Linked DNA regions of Oryctolagus cuniculus. The protein of the gene in region 1 purifies or fractionates together with the protein of each later gene. This does not show direct contact. Links are inferred from orthologs where the notes say so. Each region holds a gene or a part of one and is shown in the gene's direction. Other genes may lie near its edges. The genes, in order: MMP2 and COL5A1.

Region 1 (3,803 bases):
GGCCCTCTGCTTGCCTCCTCCCCAGCACAGGCGGGGACTGCGAGTGGCAACTCAGGGTGGCAGGCCCGAACCCCCCAGTCTCACAGTCTCACATGGCTGGCGACAGGCACTCGGATTGGGAGAGCCCTGGCGTCTTTGAACCTCGCTGTCAGAAAGACGTTCACAGTCCTGCTCTCGCCATGCGCTCTGCAGATGCAGACGTGCAGGAGAGACGAGTCCGTGTGTGGACGTGAGTGCAGTACACACACGCACAAGCACAAGCACACATACAGGGACACACTCAGGCACACACCAGCTCGGGCGGCGCCTCGCTGGGTTTCTGGGCGGTTAGGTCCTTCTCAGTCCTTGTTAGCGAGAAACCCTCGTCTTCAAGGCAGGGTCCAGGAGGGACAGCCTCCCCTACACAGGACGCTCCAAGAGACTCCCTTAGAAGAGGCAGGACGATGCAGGGGCCTGGCTCGGGCCCTGGGCAGGGCTGCCACAGCAGACGACTCTCTCCCCCAAGGAGAGCGGGTTTATGAGCTTGAGACACTGTCGTGGTATGGAGAGAGATGGTGAGCCGCTACCGCCAGCGTGCCAGGGAGAGCTCAGATTCCACTCAACCCACAAATATGCCTTCTGTGTGCGCTGTCCACCAGGCGCTTGGCTGGCTGCTGGGGAACTGTGAAGGAACGACACTGAAACAGTGAAGGCGGGAACTGATGCGGGCAGTCGTGGGCCTGAGCCTGTGCAAGCCCCCTGCATTGCTCACGTAGAGTGGCAGGTTGTTAGCCCCGTTTTCCAAGTGTTGCAGTTGAGGCTCGAGTGGCAGCGAGATACGGCTGTGCGGAAGCTGGGACCCACGTGTGTGTGTTCCTGACACCTGCCCCACCCTGCGTCTCCTGCAGCTGCAGACAAGTCCCAAGCGTTACAGGGAACCTGTTCAAAACAGTGCGTCAGCGAGTGGGGCTCTGACCAGGGGATGATGGGGAAGGAGGAGAGTGAAGGTCGTGGCTCCTGCAGAGCCAGCTCTATGATGTTGCACTGCTGAGTTCCTCCTGGACGTAAAGATGTTGGAAGCAAATTAGTTCATGAACCTCAGTTCATGAACCTCAGTTTCTCCAGCCAAAAAGTGGGGTTGGTTCTTTAGTTTTCGTTTTTACTTATTTGTTTGAAAGGCAGAGAGACAAAGGCAGATCTTCCATCCACTGGTTCACTCCCCCAAAATGCCTACAGCAGCCAGGGGTGGGCCAGGCCAAAGCCGGGAGCCTGGCACTTCATCCGGGTTCTCCCACGTGGGTGGCAGTGCACTTGCTGCCTCCCAGGGTGTGAAGAGCAGGAAGTTGGAACCAGAAGCAGAAACAGGACTTGAACTGGTGCTGTGATGTGGGATGCCTGTGCCCCCTGCAGTATGTCAACCATCGTGCCAAACCCTAGCCCCAGAGGGGTTGATTCTTGTACTCTCCACCTTGTGGGAGCAGAATGAGAAAGACATGGGAATGAGTTCCAATGTGAGGCGCCTGTATCTGAGCCATCCTGACTGTAGGGGCTGGACCGAGAGGTCGGGGGAGGGGGCGTGGACACTGAGCTGGGGAACTTGGCTTTGGTAACACAGGTCACGAGGAAGTATGTTAGGTTTTGCAAGAAACAGTCTTGTGATGCAGCCGGCGTTCAGGAAGGTCTCTCTGGCAGTTCTTGGGGGTGATGGGCAGAGGCATAGAACCCCAGTGGAAGGAGCCTATGGAAGGGGAGGCTGGTGTGAGACTCCGTGGAGAAGTGAGGCTTCCGTAGAGAAGCAGAGAGCCAGCTAGCAGCACTGTCGAGGAAGGCTCGGAGCCACCAAGATGGAATTCAAACACAGATCTGTCCAGAAAATCAGCGCCTCGGAAACTTGAACTTGGCAGGTCCACACTGGGCGCTCGTTAAGTATTTGCAGAACAGTGAGTCCATTGAGTTTAAGTGGAGTGGTGCAGAAATCAAAATGACAGCAGCATTCATTAAAAACGTTTTTCAGAAAGTCGAAAAGACAGAGGCAGAGCTGGCCAAGGAGAAGAAGCTGCCAGCGGGTGCCCCAGGTATTCACCGGCATTGAAGGTGGGGCCCCGAGTGGCTGTGCACCCTGACAGCTGCAGCTGCGACGCCCTGTGACACATAGGCTTTGGGCTCACAGCCACCTCCCGCACTGTAACCTCACTCTGCGAGCGCGGTCGTCTCCCAGGACGTGACTGTCGGCTCTGCTTGATAGATGAAGGAGCAGTATTAGATCTAAGAGATCTAAGTGACGGAGTCCAAGACCCGTGGAGCAGGTCCCCGGCCTTGGGGCTCCTGATCCAGGGCTCCTCAGAATACAGCAGGGGTCAGAGTTGGGAAGGAAACTAGCATTTCCCAAATGCTTCTTAAAGACCACACACAGGCTAGACCCTATTTTACATGCGTTATATTAAATACAATCCCATTTTACAGCTGGTACAATTGAGGTTTCAAGAGCAACTTACAGCCCTGGAGCCAGACAGGTCTGGCTTGGACTACCACTTAGAAGCCGGGAGTGCTTTGTAAGTCTCTGGTCTGTGAGATGAGGATGACAGTGGTAACTGTCATTAGACTGTTGACAGGATTGAGTGAGAAGGTGTATGGACAGTGACTGACACACCAGCCAGTGTGTGGTCAGTGTTAAAAGCTGTGTTAACATTGTTTTTATGGCATCGTCCAAAGTCATGACATCAGTAAGTGGAGTTGGGATTCAGATCCAGGTCTGACTCCCTGTCCTCCCGTGACCGCTGGCTGCCTCCCTGAAGGACTGAGGTGGGGGCCGCCTGGCCCACGGAGAGGCCTGGCTGGCTCAGCATGTCCGGTTTGTTACAGATACAATGAGGTGAAGAAGAAGATGGACCCCGGCTTCCCTCGGCTCATCGCAGATGCCTGGAACGCCATCCCCGATCACCTGGATGCTGTGGTGGACCTGCAGGGCAGCGGTAAGCAGCCAAGCCCCTCCCTGCTCTCTAGGACCCCTGCGCCGAGCCTGGCCACAGCCCCTCGCAAGCACACACGCCCTCATTGTGCAGGGCAGCCATGCCGCGGCCCGGGGAAACAAACCAAGCCCTTCAGCCAGTGCTGGGCAGGATTCCAGACCCCCGACCTCTGCTCCCTCTGCCGGGCTCCTGGGCAGCAGGGCCCCTCACAGCTGCAGGGCCTGGAGCCAGGGCCGGGAGGGGAGGGGCCCTGACAAGGGGGCGGGGAGCATGGGCCCGTGCCCTCACTCCATGCTGGGTCTGATCCTGGCTCCTTTGCTTTTTGCCGGAGGGCACCCGTTAGCAGAAGGATGCACTGTGCTATGCAAGCCACTCTATCCTGATCACGTGCCAGGAATCCCCCACCCGACTGGTGCTCCCTGATCCCTTGGTGAACGAAGCGCATCCAGTGTCAACAAGGCTGGGAGGGGCAGTCGGAAACCGTGTTCCCAAGGAGGCCTCTGTGAGCTCTCCAGGGCCCTGGAAATGAGTCGAGTTCAGCTGTTTACAAGAGATGTCAGCTCAATGCCACAAAGGTTTTCTGAGGCCCTGCCATAGGGCACGCACATAGTCCAAAGCTCCCGTGGCTCCAGATCTCACCTGTGCAAGAGAAAGCAATGCACAGTCAGGTGCGAGGTTAAGGATTACGTTCAAGGATAAACATCTGGGTACCAGGGCTTTCAAAGAAGTCAGTGGGACCATGTGAGTCGGGAGTCGCACATGGCAAAGCCTCCACAGGCCGGGCGGGCAGCACTAGTGAGGAAAGCAGGCGGTAGGGAGTGGTGGCATCTGTGGTGACCCAGAGAGCGCATGGCT
Region 2 (3,803 bases), on another chromosome or scaffold:
CCACCCCCGTCACCGGGGTGCCCTCCTGACCTCTGCCTGTGACCTTGGCGGGTGCGCGGGCAGCTGCTGCCGGGGTGGCCTTGGCCTCGTCCCGAGAGAGTCTGGTGGCGGCCGATGCCCTTGTCCCTCTCACCGTGGCCCGTGGCCTGTGGCCCATGGCCTGTGCTGGTCACCGTGGGCCCTCCTCACGCACCTGCCCCCTGCCCCCGCCTCCCCCTCATTGAACTTGACTCTCGTTTCAAAGCCCGTTCTCACCTCCTCGGCCACCCCAGAGGGGAAGGAGGGGCGCCATTCCTGGAGCTGTCTGGTCCCGTGGCCCAGGCCACATGTGCCTCCGGGGACAGAGCTGGGGGCAGCTCCCCGCCGAGTCCCCCAGCCAGGCGCTCCCTGTACCTGAGGCAGACACGGCTCTGTCCCTCCCAGAGGCCCCCAGGCTTGGGGTTTGGGGCTGAAGGGCAGGGCAGGCTGGCGATGGCCACGGGGCCAGGCGGGGGCCACGGCCTGGCTGACCACACGGCCACTGTGTTCTGAAGGGGCCCGTGTCACACTCGGGTCCAGCTTCCTCTGATTGCTGTGCCCCCTGGGCTCCTGGGGCTGACTCGGGTTCCCAGGGCGGGGGCTGGAGGGTGAGGGCTCCCACGCTGGCCCCGGGCAGCTCCATGCCCGGGGCTGGGCCAGGCAGTGATCCCGGAGGGTGTCAGTGGCTTTGCGGTGGTGGTGGTTGGTTGGGGGGGGGTCTCTCGGTGTCTCCCCTCACTCACGAGATCTGCATTTGCTCTCAGTACCCGGATGGAGAGGGTGAGGGTGAGACCTATTACTACGAGTACCCCTACTACGAGGACCCTGATGACCTCGGCAAGGACCCCACCCCCACCAAGAAGCCCGTGGAAGCTGCGAGAGAAACCACAGAGATACCTGAGGTTTGGGCTGGCCGCGGGGACCTGGCGGGCGGGGGTGGCACTCAGGGCCACCGGGAGGAGGAGGGGATGGGGGTGCGGCCACTCTGTCGCCAGCCACGGATTCGTGGGAGGCGCCCCTGCCTCCGCGGCCCACACCCTCACCGCGCCGCTCTCCCCAGGAGCTGACCCTGCCGCCCACCACGGAAGCCCCCTTGGCGCCCGAAGCCAGCGAGGGGGCCGGGAGGGAAGAGGCCCCCGGTGTCGGGGACTACGACTACGTGCCCATAGAGGACGACTACACGCCTGCCCCGTACGATGACCTTGGCTACGGAGAGGGCCTGGAGAGCCCTGAGCAGCTGCCCGACCGGGGAGCCGAGGCCGAAGTCCCCACCAGCACCACCGTCACCTCCAACTCCTCCAATGTACTTCTCCATCCTTACTTCCTGGGGCCGGGGGGGGGGGGGCGGGGCGGGCGTGGGGGCAGGCCCCTGGGGGCCTCCTGTCTCGGTCACTCACCATGGGAGTCCTGGGGAGGCTCCTGCGGTCAGGGGTTCACCCGCAGGTGGGCTGGGACGGCCCTGCCCTTTAGGCCAGGGGTCCCCAGGCGGAAGCAGACCGGCCCAAGGCCTCTGCGTGACCCCGGGACGCCAGCCGGCCTCCCTGGAGCTCGGGTACCTGCTGACGACGGGCAGTGCCTGCTGTCGGTTTCCAGTCGGGGAAGATGGCAGCTCGGGCCCGCGCTCGCAAGTGGCCATTGTGCAGTGCCGGGTTCCTGGCCCCCAGAGAGGACCCCGGGCTCCAGTGGGTGCAGACCCCTGGTCCCGAGACCACAGCCCCAGCCGGTGTGCCACGTGTGGGTGGGCCGTGCCCAGGCCTGGCCCCGCCTCGCTTGGCCTGCCTGGGCTGAGTCTCCCACAGCAGGGGGGGGGCAAGGAGCCCCCGGGGGCTGCAGGCTCCAGGGTGCTGGGAGGCCCCAGCACTGCCGTCCTAGCCGGGGCGCTCTCTGCGGGTTTCCTGGTGCCGGCAGAGCGGAGCACAGGGACAGTGCCAGCCTGGTGACCCTGCTGCCCTCCCCGCCCTGTGCAGCCCGCCCCGTCTGGGGGGGAAGGGAGGGATGACCCGGACGGGGAGTTCACTGAGGAGACCATCAGGAACCTGGACGAGAGCTACTACGACCCCTACTACGACCCCGACTCCACCGTGTCCCCGTCGGAGATCGGGCCCGGCATGCCGGCCAACCAGGACACCATCTACGAGGGGGTGAGTGGGTCGGGGGCGGCGGCCCTCCCCGGAGCTCAGCTCGGTGGAGTGCCCCACGCGTGTCCCTGGCTTTGCTTTATCGTTGCTATCATGGCCTGCATCTTCGTGCAGAAGGCTGAGGTGGGCGTAGCCCAAGAGACGCCACTCTTGGCACTGCGGCGGGCTTGGCTGGCTGCTCACTGTGGCTGCACCTCCAGGCCCCTCCCCACCCTGTGTGACCCCCGCTGTTCTCTCAAACCCACAGCCCCGGGTGCCGCTCGCTTCTCTCTGGGTTGTCTGGAGCGTTGGCTTCTGGGAGTCTCGGGTGCTGTGTTTTCTAAGCCCACGTGGCCTCCGCTGTCCCACACCCGGGATCTGCAGGGGGCTGGTGGGAGCAGAGGCGCACGCCGTGCCGGTGCCCTGGCCTCACCGCGTCTCCTGGCCATGGTGACTTTGTCTTTCTGTTCTCTCTCCGTCCTCGGCACCTGCCCGGCGTCACCGCAGATTGGAGGCCCTCGGGGCGAGAAAGGGCAGAAGGGGGAGCCGGCCATCATCGAACCAGTAAGGAAGCTCGCGTGCTCGCGGGGGCCAGGGCTCTGCGGGGCGTGACCGCCTCTGTGGGCTGGGCCACTGCACCCGCGGACGGGCCCGCCTGTGGGGCACATTGCAGACCCCGGCCCGGGCGGTGGGAGCCACATCGGCCAGAGCTCTGTGTGCTGGTGGAGCAGGGTCGGCGTCCCTCGTGCCCCGGGTCAGAGGAGCCGGATGGGGGCGGGGCGCAGTGGGACAGCCTGGCCTCCTGCACCGCTCTGCAGCCCTCGTGAGGCTGAGGACGGGGCCCACACTGGGGCCGGTCAGGCGGTGGGCTCGGGGTGAGTGGACCGAGAGCTAGCGGTGGTGGCACATTGGTGTGTGCAGCTGGCGTGCACAAACCCTGGGTGCCGCCCCCTGCCCCGGGCTGGGATGTCCTCGTCCCCCCCACCCCCGTGTCTGCCCCGGGGGTCTCAGAGCTGCCAGGTCAGGGCCTGACCCCTGCCATGGGCCAGACGCTCGCCAGCAGTCGGGCTGGACACGTCTCTGCCGCTGCGTGCAGTGGGCACTGTGGTGTGGGCAGGAAGAGGCCGGGCCGCCAGGGCAGGGAGGGGCGGCGGCCGAGGCCCTCGCCCGGCACGTGGCTGAGTGTTGGTGCTGGCGACAGCAGCCACGAGGCCCCGGGCCACGCCATTGCTTCTGCTGCCAGGAGTTGTTTCCCTGGGGGCTGAGCCGGGGACACAGCCTGGGGGGCTCCCTGGGGCCCTGCTGGCCTCTGGCAGACCTGGGAAGACCTCCTGGGCGCCACCAATGGTGCTTGGCCAGTCCTTAGCTCTCAGAGACACCGTGGGCCGCCTGTGGCCAGGGCAGGCAGGACGAGGGGTGGGACTCCTGGACCAGGGGTTCAGCAGGGCTCAGGCAGGAGAGGGCGCCTCTGTGCCTGGCCCCCGGCCTGTGCCCGGCATGGGACCTATCCGTCCTCACTGGGGTGGGACTGGGTTCACACATCCTCATCCCGGCCTGAGCCGTCTGCAGGCCCGGAGTTGGAGGCCAGGGACCAGGATGCACGGGGTCAGCAGGTGCAGAGGTAGGAAGGGCCCGGTGCACACCAGGGTCCCCGGTCTCAAGGCCAAG

The links.
Region 2: the proteins of MMP2 (region 1) and COL5A1 purify together in Homo sapiens (co-immunoprecipitation; 3 studies listed by BioGRID and IntAct, counting the BioPlex papers as one, with this or other methods). This does not show direct contact. The link is inferred for Oryctolagus cuniculus from reciprocal best matches to the Homo sapiens genes MMP2 and COL5A1.

What each region holds. Positions count from the first base shown.
Region 1 is NC_091449.1:38,836,532-38,840,334, forward strand, and holds part of MMP2 (72 kDa type IV collagenase precursor), read left to right. Parts: intron 1-2,841; coding exon 2,842-2,951; intron 2,952-3,803.
Region 2 is NC_091432.1:236,119,495-236,123,297, forward strand, and holds part of COL5A1 (collagen alpha-1(V) chain), read left to right. Parts: intron 1-782; coding exon 783-920; intron 921-1,078; coding exon 1,079-1,321; intron 1,322-1,985; coding exon 1,986-2,159; intron 2,160-2,642; coding exon 2,643-2,699; intron 2,700-3,803. UniProt on the Homo sapiens protein: Type V collagen is a member of group I collagen (fibrillar forming collagen). It is a minor connective tissue component of nearly ubiquitous distribution. Type V collagen binds to DNA, heparan sulfate, thrombospondin, heparin, and insulin.